Drosophila melanogaster: one gene and its partner. The protein of the gene in region 1 interacts with the protein of each later gene in a pairwise test. Each region holds a gene or a part of one and is shown in the gene's direction. Other genes may lie near its edges.

The links.
Region 2: the proteins of JMJD4 (region 1) and CRAT interact in a two-hybrid assay, tested with the Drosophila melanogaster proteins (one large-scale study listed by BioGRID).

What each region holds. Positions count from the first base shown.
Region 1 is NT_033779.5:18,155,553-18,161,838, reverse strand, and holds JMJD4 (jumonji domain containing 4), read left to right. Parts: upstream 1-2,566; 5' UTR 2,567-2,757; intron 2,758-2,825; 5' UTR 2,826-3,298; coding exon 3,299-3,921; intron 3,922-3,975; coding exon 3,976-4,630; 3' UTR 4,631-4,729; downstream 4,730-6,286. Other genes in the region: CG42750 (uncharacterized protein), read left to right, coding at 182-410; CG5783 (uncharacterized protein), read right to left, coding at 4,732-4,984, 5,038-5,214, 5,271-5,497, 5,556-5,762; CG15155 (uncharacterized protein), read right to left, coding at 6,014-6,248. UniProt on the Drosophila melanogaster protein: Catalyzes the 2-oxoglutarate and iron-dependent C4-lysyl hydroxylation of eRF1 thereby promoting the translational termination efficiency of eRF1. May be involved in regulation of chromatin structure, promoting expansion of heterochromatin.
Region 2 is NT_033777.3:6,369,739-6,377,032, reverse strand, and holds CRAT (carnitine O-Acetyl-Transferase), read left to right. Parts: upstream 1-3,007; 5' UTR 3,008-3,187; coding exon 3,188-3,219; intron 3,220-3,458; exon of another isoform or gene 3,459-3,556; coding exon of another isoform or gene 3,557-3,573; intron 3,574-3,652; coding exon 3,653-3,731; intron 3,732-3,796; coding exon 3,797-4,863; intron 4,864-4,926; coding exon 4,927-5,175; intron 5,176-5,234; coding exon 5,235-5,796; 3' UTR 5,797-6,007; downstream 6,008-7,294. Other genes in the region: CG42564 (uncharacterized protein), read right to left, coding at 1-650, 1,619-2,013, 2,333-2,554; CG10286 (uncharacterized protein), read right to left, coding at 6,139-7,294.

The sequences.
Region 1 (6,286 bases):
GTGGACTCTGCCTCTGGACAGCTTAGCCAATTTATTTTGTATGTAGTGCACGAAAATTTAATTTAATTGTGATTAGAAATTTTTTCAAATATATGTTTTATGCGGAAGCATTATTCCAAAATGTATAACTCATATTTCGACAAAAAAGCTAATGCACTGAGATTCCTTCTTCTAATTTTAGTACGCCCAAAGGACTGGAGGATGTGTCTTCATATCCGACTCTATTTGCCGAACTCCTTGGCGGCGGCTGGACAATTGACGAGCTGACGAAGCTGGCAGGCGGCAATTTCCTCAGGGTCATGCAGCAGGTGGAAAAGCTGAGGGATGACAAAAAGGCAGCGGGCGTGAAACCCTTCGAGGATCATCCGAACTTCCGCACGGACGACCCGTACAACTGTACGTCCAGCTAATTGAGCAGCGGATCCAAACACACCGAGGTTGTACCGGAAATGCCGGGGATGTACCCAAAATCGTAGGAGAAATCGATTGAACTGCTGCTTCAGATGTATAGTGGATAGACCTATGTAGCAAATTTAAAGGAACGTAAATTAAACTAATGATATAGATACCTACGATTCGTATAAGCTTTAAATACATATTTTTAAGATACGTAAACATTTGAATGCCTGATTATTTGGCTTGGGAAGTAACTTCCTCGATCTTTCCCTTTGGTAATCGAATCGAATTTCTTTTCATTTTATGACAATCTACAGACTGCCAAGGAAGAACACACCTACTTATAAATTGCACCAGAGTCCCACACAAAATTAACGTAACACTAAGTTATTTCCTACCTCGAATCCATATAGAAACCAGACTTTGTTAGCTCATCTCCAACTGGACCAACAAACACTCCACTTCTCTTCTGTGAACTTTCAATTATTTCACTAATTTACATGAGAACTACATATCAAGCATGTATTAAGCTAAGATATTTAATTAACAAAGTATTTGATTTAGCATTAAATCCAATGCGAATACTTATGAGTGGGAAAGCATACACTTATAAACAATGAGTAAAGTAATTAAATACTTTAGTTCCAGCGAGGGCGGGACGTAAATGAAATGTTTAGTTAAATTTTTAAGCAGTTCGAGGGCGTCGAAACTGAATGAATAAATAGCGTAATGAATACTAAATTAGTTCGTAAGCAACGTGTAGACGTGGCACTGCCTGCTACACGAACACTGTACATAGATTCCGATCACAATAAGTATAGCAAAAATTCATAATGATATAGAAGTTTTGCAGCATATAGTACATACATACATACTACATTCGTTTTCACCTACCAGATACACAGATACATAGATCTCTCAGTCAGTCTCTCTGTACCTTCTAAATAAAAAGATGGAAATATAGAAAAATGCGCTTAGCCTAAGTAAACAAATTATACATACTAAACCAATATTGCAAGCCGAAAAACCGAAAAATGTAAAACCGAAAAACCGAAAACCCAAGACAAAATCAATAATTGTACATTTTCTAAACCGAAACCGAATAATAAATTGTAAACACCTTTATAACGATTGATAGCATGAGAATCTACTGTTACGTTTTGTACGATTTTGTATGTGTATATAGCATTTTTACCTATACGCTAATTTGTATGGTCATTATATAGTTTTCTAGCAAGCGATTCGAGCGTATTATACTGTACTGGTCTGATGAGCAGATTTGTTGGTAATCATGTAGCTATAAGTCTGGCCTGGAAGGTCGCAAAATAAATATCTGTAAAGTTTATACATATACGAATATGCCTAGATCTAGAAATAAAAACCGACTAGCATAGAACAACATGCATATATACACTACAACTCGATTCTCAAAATGTCTTACACTTATTTGATCTCTTTCTCAGTTTGAAATTGAACAGAAACAAACACACAATCTCAGACATGCATATGTAAAACCAAATTGTAGTTAAAAACTTGAAAATGGTAAAATGTTTAGCGAATAAAACTCTAAAGGCAAACCAACTGCAGTAAATATAAAACCAATTAAGGAAAATAATAAATTGTTTTATTGCTGGAACACGTGGAATGGTGGAATGTGGAACTTAAGGGGGTTCTTAATTTATTTATTTTTTCGGTTTTTATAGGTGAATTCTAAAAAATAACAAGAGAGTCGAGTTCCCCGACTATCAGATACCCGTTACTCCGCTAGTGTGAATGCGAACGCAAAATTTCATCATTTTTCTGGGATATACATAGATAGATATTGGGGAATAAAATGAGTAAAAAATTTGAAATTTGTTAAAAGTGGTTTTAGAGCGTTAGAGTGGGCGTGCCAAAAGCTTTTTGCAAGTCGACAGAAATTTACATGATCAATAAAATTATGAAAAAATATCCAACAATTTTCAAAAATGTGGAGGTCAGATTTGGGCGGTTTTAGGATGTTAGAGTGGGCTTTGCAAAAAGGTTTTTGGCAAATCGATAGAAATTTGCAAGGTTAATAAAATTATAAAAAAAAATTATCAAAAATAAATAATAATTTTGTGGACGTCGAAGTTTTGGACGATTTTAGGGCGTTAGAGTGGGCTTGGCAACATGTGTCAATAAACTTGTGCTGAGTCTATGTCTCCAGAATCTGTATGCTGAATCTCAACCCTCTAGCTTTTATAGCTCCTTATACGGACAGTCGGACATGACCAGATCGACTCGGCTATTGATCTTGATGAAGAATATATATATATATATATACAGTCGGCGGAATAAATCGACGGGATAAGCCGACGGTACATGGCGCGACAAGTCACGGTATGTCAAAAACTTTTTAATTTTATGAATTTTTTATGCGAAAAATTCCATTAAAATGTTATCCACAGTTTTCGGGGAGTTTGAATTTTTCTGTTACGACACGTTTTTACATTCATTGTGTTCGAAGCTGTGCTAGATAAATAACAGCCAACGTACATACATGTAATCGCTGATAAAAAATCGTATTAAATAACCATGTGGGATTTATTGATTAAACATCTGGTGAAGTTAACTTATTGGGGTGCTAGCTTTATCATTTTAAGAATTTTTTTCATAGATTCCATTTAAGTTAATTTAAATGAATTCGTAGCCTTCATTCAAACCCATCCTTGAAAAATACCAAATCGTCTATCGTCTATAAAGACACTTGTAAACGGTCACATTGATATAACGGCAAGACCATATGTTATTTTATTTGCGATGGTCACACAGAAAAGTTGCAACCAAATATCGTTTTGGAATTTTTTACAAGGAACTCAAAAAGGAACAGCCAGTGCATGATTAGGAATTTGAGCGCCTCAAAGACCCACAGCCAGATCGAATGGCGTCCGAAGAGCGGGATGGGGATGTCCTGCTCCAGTTGCATCCCGAGGAAGTCGTGGAAACTGACCCACAGCTGCCCGAGGAAATCGAGCGCTGTTCTGGACTAGATTATAACGATTTTTTCTGGCGCTACATGCACAAGAACATACCGGTCATCATAGCCAATGTGTCTAACGACTGGGAGTGCCAGAACTGGACTGTAGGCCAGTCCAGTCCAGAGTCGCGGGATCTCAACTCCAATCCGAGTGCATCTTCCATCAACTTTGACTACCTCAAAACCAAGATCAGCGATGGCCCGGTTCCAGTTGCCAATTGCAATTCGTCGTACTTCAATAGTCACACCAAACTGGAGCTCAACTTCCACGACTACCTGGCCAAGTGGAGGAGTAGCATCGAAAGTCAATCGTCAGCAGCGTGGACGTCGGCGGAAGTGAATAGTAATGTGGCTCCCGCGAGCGGGGACAATCTCTACCTCAAGGACTGGCATCTGGCTGCCCAAATGCCGGGCTATAACTTCTACAAGGTGCCTAAATACTTTGCCTCCGACTGGCTCAACGAACAACTGATTCAGCAGGGGAAAGACGACTATCGATTCGTCTATATGGGGCCCAAGAACTCATGGTCTATTTTGATGCCTTACCTGGTTTTCTCATGCTAAATTACCTTCCATTCTAGGACCTCCTATCATGCGGACGTGTTTGGCTCCTTCAGTTGGTCCACCAATATAGTGGGCCTTAAGAAATGGCTGATAATGCCGCCGGGAGAAGAACTCAAACTCAACGATCGCTTGGGAAACCTGCCCTTTAGTATAGACGAGAAAATGCTGGATGAGCACAACGTGCGATATTACACCATTAATCAGCGGGCCAATGAAGCTGTTTTCGTGCCCAGTGGCTGGTTTCATCAGGTGTGGAACCTAACAGACACCATATCCGTCAATCACAACTGGTTCAATGGCTGCAACATATCCATGGTCTGGCAAAACCTTAAGAACAACCTGAAGGCCGTTTGCAATGAGATCTCCGACTGCCAGCAGATGGACAACTTTGAGGCCCACTGCCAGACAATGCTGAGGGCCAGCTTTGGTATCAACTACCTCGATTTTATAGAACTACTGGAGTTTATAGCCGCTCGCCGATTGGCAGAGGGAACCGTAGCCACCAAATTTTTACTATTCGATAGTTACACAATGAACGATTATCATGTGCAATACGATCTCGAGTGCTTATGGAAGATCACCCGGACTCTAACAGAGGATCCGACTATCCAGTGTAGTCCCCTCCAATTAGAAGATCGCTGCCAGGGATTGCTCGCTCGTTTAGAGTTTTAGAATAAGCACAGCTCAAATGCCTCGGCATATTTTTATACCAATACTTGTATTCATATACAACCGAAAGTCGTAATATTTTAATACAGACATTTAAACACCAATTACTCGCCCTCGGGCCATGTGAACTGCCCACCGGTGGGTTCCGTCCTTAGCCAGTAGCATTGATCGATGACCTGGAATCCCAGTTTGCTGAACATCTCCGATGACGGCTTATTCGAGGGGCCCACGAGAGCCATTACATCGTGACCTTGGACGGCTAGGCGGTATGCTATTTCCCTAGTCACCACACTGCCAAATCCGCGTCGCTTGTGTGTATCTTTGACTTGCAGGGCGCCCAAGTAGCCGCCTTGTAACCTACAGATTTCGATATCAGGTAATGTGTCTTTATAAAAATACATTCGTCTTACCTAATGCACCAGGCAACTAGTTCCTGGGTGTCTTCCTGGTACAATCCAACACTGACGCACAGGCGAATCTGCCTTTCTACGAAGAACAAAGATCCCTCATGATGATTGGGCCACTCTGCGTTAACCAATGGAGCATCTGCCACACTCAACGACTTTAAAACAAATCCAGATGGAGGTCTACAAGACTTAGATCATATAAAACTCGTTATGTTAAATGGATTATTATTTCTTACTCGACTTTCAGCTTGAGAGCGTCGTTGGCTTTCATAAAAAACAAATTCGTGCAGTCCCTGTACACCAGATTCAACTTTTTGGACTCCACCAGACTATCCAGGGCACCAATGTGTCTGGAGGGTATAGAACTGCATTTCAAACCCGACGACCAGTCCAGTAAATCCAGAGCTTTTCCAACAAGGCCGTTCGTGTTGTTCAAGCAACCTACGAATAGTTGATAGCGATCCTAAGAGAGGGCCGCCTCTCTTAGTGAGTTGCAGTCTATACATATATGTAGAACTCACCACTATAACAAAAAGACCTTCATCTCTGGCTTGTTTTGCATCCAATGTGTACATCTTAATATTCCTCATATGGGGCTGTTTTTTCAGAAATTCCACAAAGTTATCAAGGCAGTAGTATTCCTGGCAATATTTTGGCCAGTTTTGCTTGTAGAGCTGTTGGAACTCCTGGATATCTTTCAGCCCAATAACTTCTAATCGAGTACCCATATTGGTCGAGCGAAACAATCTTCCCCTTCGAGCGACCGAGTGAAAATGGCTCATTTGATTGTTGTTTGGGTGACTCAATCAAGCAGCTTGTCTATTTCTCTTCATGCAATCTCTTCAAATCGTTAGATTCTCTTACGTGTGGTTTTCTTATGGCCAGCCAGTACATTTTTTGCCAGCTGCTAAAACTTATCAGCTTTAATAATTTAAATCTACAAAAAAAATAACATTTACAGATAAACAAGTCCTTAATCTTATCGAACTCCTTTTGGCGGCTCCGTCATCAGCCAGTGACACTGGTCGTTGATTTTAAAGCCCAGTTTGGTGAACAGGCCCAAGGATGCCTTGTTTTCCGGAACCACTTCGGTGATTGTATCGCGTCCCAGCAGAGCCTCTTGTCTCGCAAATTCCTTCACAATCAGTTGGCCGAAGCCTCTGCGTTTGTAGGTCGTCTTGACCTGAAGGACTGCCAATAAGCCATCTGGAGCCCTGCGAAGTAATAGTAATTGAGAATTTATTTCTAATAG
Region 2 (7,294 bases), on another chromosome or scaffold:
GCGCCAGGAAGCGGGCGAACTTCTTCTCCAGCGCAGCCCTGTCCAGAGGCTTTGGCATGGGTTCCAGTAGCCCTTCGGCATGAGCTTCTTCCCCTCCTGGCGATTCGGAAGCGGGTGTCCCTCCAGCTGTTGGTGCAGGAGTGGAGCCTTCTCCCTCCACCGGGGTGACTCCTGGAGTGGCTCCTGGCGCTGCTCCGTCGACTGCTGGAGTGGCTGCAGCTTCTCCAGGTGCAGCTGCTCCTCCTTCGGCGGCAGGCGCTGCTGCTGCTCCATCGGCTGCTGGTGCTGGTGCCCCACCTTCAGCTGGCGGCGTTCCATCAGCGTTTTCGCCGTTGAGCATGACGAAGTCCCGTTTTCCAAGAGTTCTAGTTTTAATTTCGGGACTGGACGCGTTTCCTGCTTTCGGCGTAACCTTCTCGTAGACCTCGGACTCGGCGCAGAGATGTGCATATTTCGGGTTCGCTCCGGTCTTGCAGGACTCCGCCGCCTTTTTCCCGGGCTCGTAGACGGGCGAGCCCACAACCGGGGCGTGGCCATAGTTGCACGCGAAAAACGTCTGAATCCAGCCATGCCGGGACTGCTGAACGATGGCACAGCCCACGGATTCAGCGTTCTCCAGCACGATCTGTAAAAAGTTGTACTTCGGCGACCTGATAGATGGGAACACAAGTTGAAGTTGATTAATTCCGTTTTTTCATATAGTAATAAATCATGAAACCCACATTTATTTTATGTATTGAATGTTCTTAGATGTAGCCTGGAAATTTACAAGCGAATCTTTATATAAAATATTTAATTTTCGGACCAACAAATAATTAAAACTTTCTAAAGATAAGTTCATGGGGTTGAGTTCTTCTATTAAAGCTTATAAAAAACAATCGTTATGGATATGGATTATGGAATAAGCTAAGATAAATAAACTAAGGTAAGTCCCCTCTTAATTAATTGCAATCAATATCATCTGCAAGAGTCATCCGGCAGAATGCAATCCCTCGCCAGAGAAGAGAGCCCAATGGAATCCACATGCAATCGTTTTATTCTTGAGAAGATCGCGAAGCGTACGGCCGCATATAACATAAGAAGAATTTCATAACGGAGTGTTGTTAAAAGAAACTATATCATATCAAATATTAATATCAATAAAAAAAATGTGAGTGAAATCAACATCAAGACTAAATTACTATAATTTTCCAGCGGGTGGTCATGAAAATAAATGGATTCCTCTCCTTTAAAAGTTCATGTAAAATTGTCAAAAGGCATTTGTCGCACACTCGCGTCCATTATTTTGCAAGCCCTAATATTATTTTAGAAACAAAAAAAAATATTTATATTATCAACATTTATGTTGTCAAAATATAATCAATTGGTGTTTATAGTAATTTTGAAAAATTTAATTTTTAATTTAAGAAGAAAAGTGACAGAATTATAACATTCAGATACTTTGTCTCCTAATAACAACAGGTACAATTTTTCGGTCTTTTTATAAATTTAGATAAGATTTAGAAAGGATTACAAAATATTAAAAAATAAATAATAATCATTTCAGGTTGAAATATTTACCAAATCCCGTAAGGACGCCCGAGTAAACAACCCTATATATTCCTTAAGTGGTACTCACTGAGATTCCTGCTCGACATACTTCATGATGTTCACCATCGAAGTTCTGGATTTTTCCCGCAACCACACCCCTATGATATCCCTAAGGATATCCTCCAACTCTGGCAATTTTCCTTTAATGCCTCGATACCCAACCGTCTGGCCAGCGTTTTGCGTGAACTTCGTGTTCCGGCACTCGTCGTGCCTCAGGACACAATCCCTCACATTGAATTCAGCTAGGTAGGCCAGTTCCGGGTTCCACTTCAAGGTGCCCATCCGACTGGCAGGACTCAGTCCGTTGAACCCTCCTTTGGCCACGCTATCCCTCAACTCATTAAATCGCCTTAATAGGAATCTTTCCACCTTTGGGCTTATCACTATGAGCTCAGCGTCCAGAGAGCACTTGTCGTGCAGTTCCTGAAGATATTATTGGTAACAAGTTAGGATAGTAACGCATTTTGGAAACAAAAATAACCCAGAACTTTTAGTATGACATTTTGTAACGAAGGTATACCTCTCAAAAGCCAATCAATTCGAAATTAATATTCGTCACTAATCAATTTTATCAACAAATTTTATGACATTGAAAATTTGAAAAAGTCCTAAATTAATTTATATTTGGCTTTCTTTCAACCATTTATACCTTATATAGTGTATGCGAACAAAAAATGTTGTTTTGTTAATTTGAATTAGTTGGTTGTTATCACGTGGCACACATTTTAGTTTAGTAACTTACGATTGATGCGTTGCAAGCCACATGTTTGAGTTCTTTGTGGCACAAGGAGGGATCGCAGTAGTCCGGTAGTTCCGTTGAGGAGCTGTTTCCTGGCTCCTCTTGACCTTGCGAACCTCCAGGAGATGGGTGACCAGCTTCGGTGACCGCTGGACTTGGTGTCGTAGTGGCTGCCGTTTGAATGGTCAAACAACTGGCAATCAGAAAAACGACAAGGGCCAACATTTTTCATCCAGAGACCGTGGCGTATTAACGTTAGTTTTTCAAAACGTAGATCAAACGGTTCGGACTGTGAAATCACAATTTGCAAAGATCAAATGATACAGCAAAACCAATGGTAGAATTTTTAGCAGATTAAACATTATATTGATAGTTTGGTTCGTCTCATAAAAAGCCGGAACAAATTATTGGGCAAAGTTTTTTAAAGCTTAATTTTGGATTTCCAAAAAAAAAAAATTGAAATCTTAAAAGTTCACGTTATTCTACTTAATAATATTAACGTTTTGAGATTATCATTCGTGCCGAAAATTTACTAAAGTAATTTTTCTGCAAAGAACCCCCCTAGTTTTTTATGAATACTAGAGCTGGGAATTCATCGATATTATTCACAAAACGTACGCTAGCTTATCATGAACATATATTGCATACTAATAGTATTGCTTGTTTTCTAAATATTAGCTTTAAAGAAGTTTTGGAATTGCTTGTGATTTTAATCGATTGTTATCCATTATTGATAGCACAGTTAAACCAACAACAGGGAGTGCTTATTTACTTGTTGCTGTTTGACAACAGCTGTTTCTTGTTTTGATTTGAACATACAAACATATATAAACATATATGTTTATATAGAATCTATAGATGTTAATTAACCGGAGCAAAACAAGAGTGAGGTAAACTTAAATTCTTTATTTGAACTGATGGGCAAGGACAGTCGAACCAGTTAAGGATTATATAAAAAGTGGTTATATATCTAGATGGTAATCATCGTGTATTTCGCTGGTATGGTATGGATATTAAGAGACGCACTCTTGGGAGAGCGAAAGTAAATAAACCGGTCGCTGATAGCATTTAAGTTGGGCTCCACTCCACTCCCACCCTTCTGCCTACGTGGACTGCTCTTTCGATGGCCAGTTGATTGGCAACTGCCGTTTTGCTTGCACTTGCCTCCTCCGCTGGCTGCTAATCGTGAGCCATTAGTTTATCGCTCCTTATAGCTAGAAGTAGATTATGTACAAATATCAAAGGTTAATTCAGTGCCACAGGCACACCAACCGGTGGTTGGACTTTAAAGTAACACTCGAATACCATTTCTCCGTTTTGCAGCCCAACGTCTGAGCGAATCCTCGAGAAAACCGAAGCCGAGATGAAGTTCCGTGGCAATGGAAAGCTTTTGTGGAATTTGGTAGTGCTCCATATGGAATGCTTGTGATTCTCCGTTCGGTAATCTGTATCCCATTCGATTTCCAGACCAAGAACTCCTTGGCCCAGCAGTCTCCAAATGGGATCGCCAAGAAAGTGCTGCCCGCTAGCAGCTACAGCACCGTCCAGAAGACCATTCCCTTGGAGCAGCCGAATCTGCTGAAGTACCACGTCCTGCCGCTGGAGGAAACGCTGAACCGCTTCATGACCACTGTGGAACCTCTCCTGACGCCTGAGGAGTTTCAACGGCAAAAGGGAATCACCTCCGAGTTTTTAAAAAAGCAGGGACGCGAACTGCAGCTGCTCCTGGAAGAAACCGGCAGCAAGGAGAAGAATTGGCTGGCCCACCGCTGGCTGAAGGCTGCCTATTTGACCTATCGAGATCCAGTCACCGTGTTCGTGAGTCCTGGCATGACCTTTCCCAAGCAAAACTTCAGGGACTCACGTGCTTTCGTGGACTATACCGCCAGGGTTATCTATGGACTGGGAGAATTCAACGACATGGTGCACGCCAACAAAATTCCGATCGTTAAAATGGGCAAGAACGAGCTGGACAACAGCCAGTTTGGCAAGGTATTCGGCACATGTCGGATTCCCAGAAGGGGCACCGACGAGATCGTGTACAATCCCGACTCCGATTATGTGGTGGTGATCTACAAGAATCACTTCTACCAACTGAAGATATACAGTAAGGAGGGAAAGCTCATTGCTGCACCATGTCTAGCTGCTCAACTCGAGAATATCGTCTTGAAGGAAACGCAAGTGGGAGTTCCTTATGGTATTCTGACCACCGACTCCAGGGACAATTGGGCGGAGGCCTACGAATATCTGGTTGAGACTCCTGGCAACCGGGATGCCCTCAAGACCATTCAGGGTGCTCTGTTCACCGTCTCACTCGATGAGGGTACTATCCTAAAGGAAGGCGAAGAGACCGACGAACTTATCCTATCGCTGATCCATGGCAGTGGCAGCAAGATAAACAGCGGCAACCGTTGGATGGACAAGACTATTCAGCTGGTGGTAAACCCCAATGGAAACGTCGGATTCACTTATGAGCACTCGCCGGCTGAGGGCCAGCCCATTGCGATGATGATGGACTACGTGGTGCAAAAGATGTAAGTTGAATAGGGCGCATGTGGTTAAAAACAACTTTATATTTATAATTTATATTATTTTAGGAAGGAAGACCCTAGCTTCGGGCAATCTGGCTCACAGGACTTTGCTCCTGCACAGAAAATACAGTTCTCTTCGAGCAATAAAAGTCTAGAGAAATCTTTGAACGTCGCCCAGGAAAACGTGGATAAACTTGCCGATGCTCTCCAAATGAAGGTTCTGAAATTCAACGGCTTTGGAAAGGATTTCATAAAGAAACAGCGTCTGGGTCCGGACAGCTTTGTTCAGATGGCGCTGCAGCTCGCCTTCTACAAGTAACTAGATGATCTTCCTACAGATTTTCAATATAGCCGAATACATTTACGTTTTGCAGAATGCACTCGGAACCACCTGCGCAATATGAGTCGGCGCACTTGCGCATATTCGACGGCGGACGAACCGAAACTATACGCTCTTGCTCCAACGAATCCCTGGCCTTTTCCCGCGCTATGCAGGACCCAAACGTTACCGATCAGGAACGCGCCGCCAAGCTTCGTGAGGCAGTAGTGTCTCATCAGACGTATGCTAAGCTGGCTCTTCAGGGAAAGGGTGTGGATCGTCACCTGCTTGGACTGAAGCTGATGGCTCTGGAGCACAGCAAGCCAATTCCCGAGTTCTTCAAGTCGCCGGGCTTTGTTAAGTCCAGTCACTTCCGCATGTCCACCTCACAGGTAGCCACTAAATACGATGCTTTCATGGGATACGGCCCGGCGACTGACGATGGTTATGCATGCTGCTATAATCCTCGGGATAATGACATCATATTGGCCATATCCGCTTGGCGCCATTGCCCAATAACGGATCACTTGAAGTTCGTTAAGACCCTCGAGCAATCCTTTTTCGAAATGAAGAATGTTCTCGAGAAGAACCCGCCTGAGACTAAGTCGAAGTTGTAAAAATGTACCAGAATAATAAAATTTAGCAGGGATCAAACTTTGAAGGACTTGATTTAACAGATGAAAGGATTTGGACTAGAATGGACAAACACTTGCTGCACTTGAAAACTAAATATGCTTTACATTTTAGCTATGGAATCAATCGATCTATTAACGCTTTTTTAAGTGGAAAACTTGTTAGTCGAATATTAATAAATACAAAAGACATGACAATTAGGAAGTTACAAATTTAACAGATTTTTTCTGTTTCTATTATCGTCGACAAATATTTTGGCATGCTTAAGAACTAAAAGTATTGTTCTCTGAAACTAGACAATAGCTTTAATTAGTGGTCATGTTAATTTATTTTTTACAGTTCTTATTAAGATAAAAAACAAAGCGTGAAAAATTAGTCTTCACTGTTTGCACTGTGGCTCGTCGCTCCTTTAGCTCCCGTCGCTGCTGCCGCAGTTTAGACTTGAACAACTCCTCTAGTGCCTGGACACGATCGCACATCTCCAACTCCGCGATGATCTGCGGCCAGTCGTCCACTGCGAAAATGTCCATTAGTGCATCTAGTCCTTCAGACAGGGCCCACAGGTCATCTTCCTGGGCACAGTAAGTCAATAGGAAGAGCACTATTGCCTTAACCAGGGGCTCTGAGAGCAGAGAACCCAGCGTACCCAGCATGCGGTTCCAGTTAACGCGAATATTTATATCTGTGCACTTGCTAGCGCCCTCGATAATCATGTTGAGATCATTCTCGGTCATCTGGCCGAAAAGATCCTTGCGAGACTTGAGCAAACTCAGCGAGGAGCGCATTAGTGACGTAATGGCCTCCATAACGGATACATCTTCACTTCCCCTAAATGCTTGTTGACCCAAGATCATCCACATGTTATAGAGGTTGCTGCAGCCCCCCAAATCTTCAGGGGGCAGCACATTGCATAGGTTCTGGAGGCAAATCAAGTATGATACTCTTAATTTTTCCACTTTCTCCTTGATATTCTCTTGCTGGGACACAAGATTTTCCACAGCAGGTTGCAGTGGTTGAGCCTTTTGCCATAGTTTCTCGATCACTTTGTTTTGTTTGATAGTCTCCAAGAAGTTGGCGGGCAGTCCCCCCGATCCACTGTCAGCTGTCTCGTCCTCCATGTCGTAATCGGCCACGCTCTCAGACTCTGAATGCTCGCTATCTGTATCCCAGTTGCTCTGTTCATCGCTGGAGCCCAGGTTGGTTATAATCTCCGCTACCAGGCGCTGGGCATCTAGCAAGTGCTCGAGGTTCTTGAGTGCTACCTCGGCATCGCATTGGTTAGGTTTCGACTGATTGGCACTCTGTGTTTCCGTCATATCCTCTGTCTCCATGGAGATTTCCAGCACGGGGGCCTCGTTCTTCGACTTTGCATTTAGAATTTCGCTTTTGCAGCTTTGCAGCTGGGCCTGTGGATCTATGGAGAGTAGTTTGTCCAGACTGTTCAGGATTTCCCGAGTGTGGGCGGCCGCGCATGCGGGTACA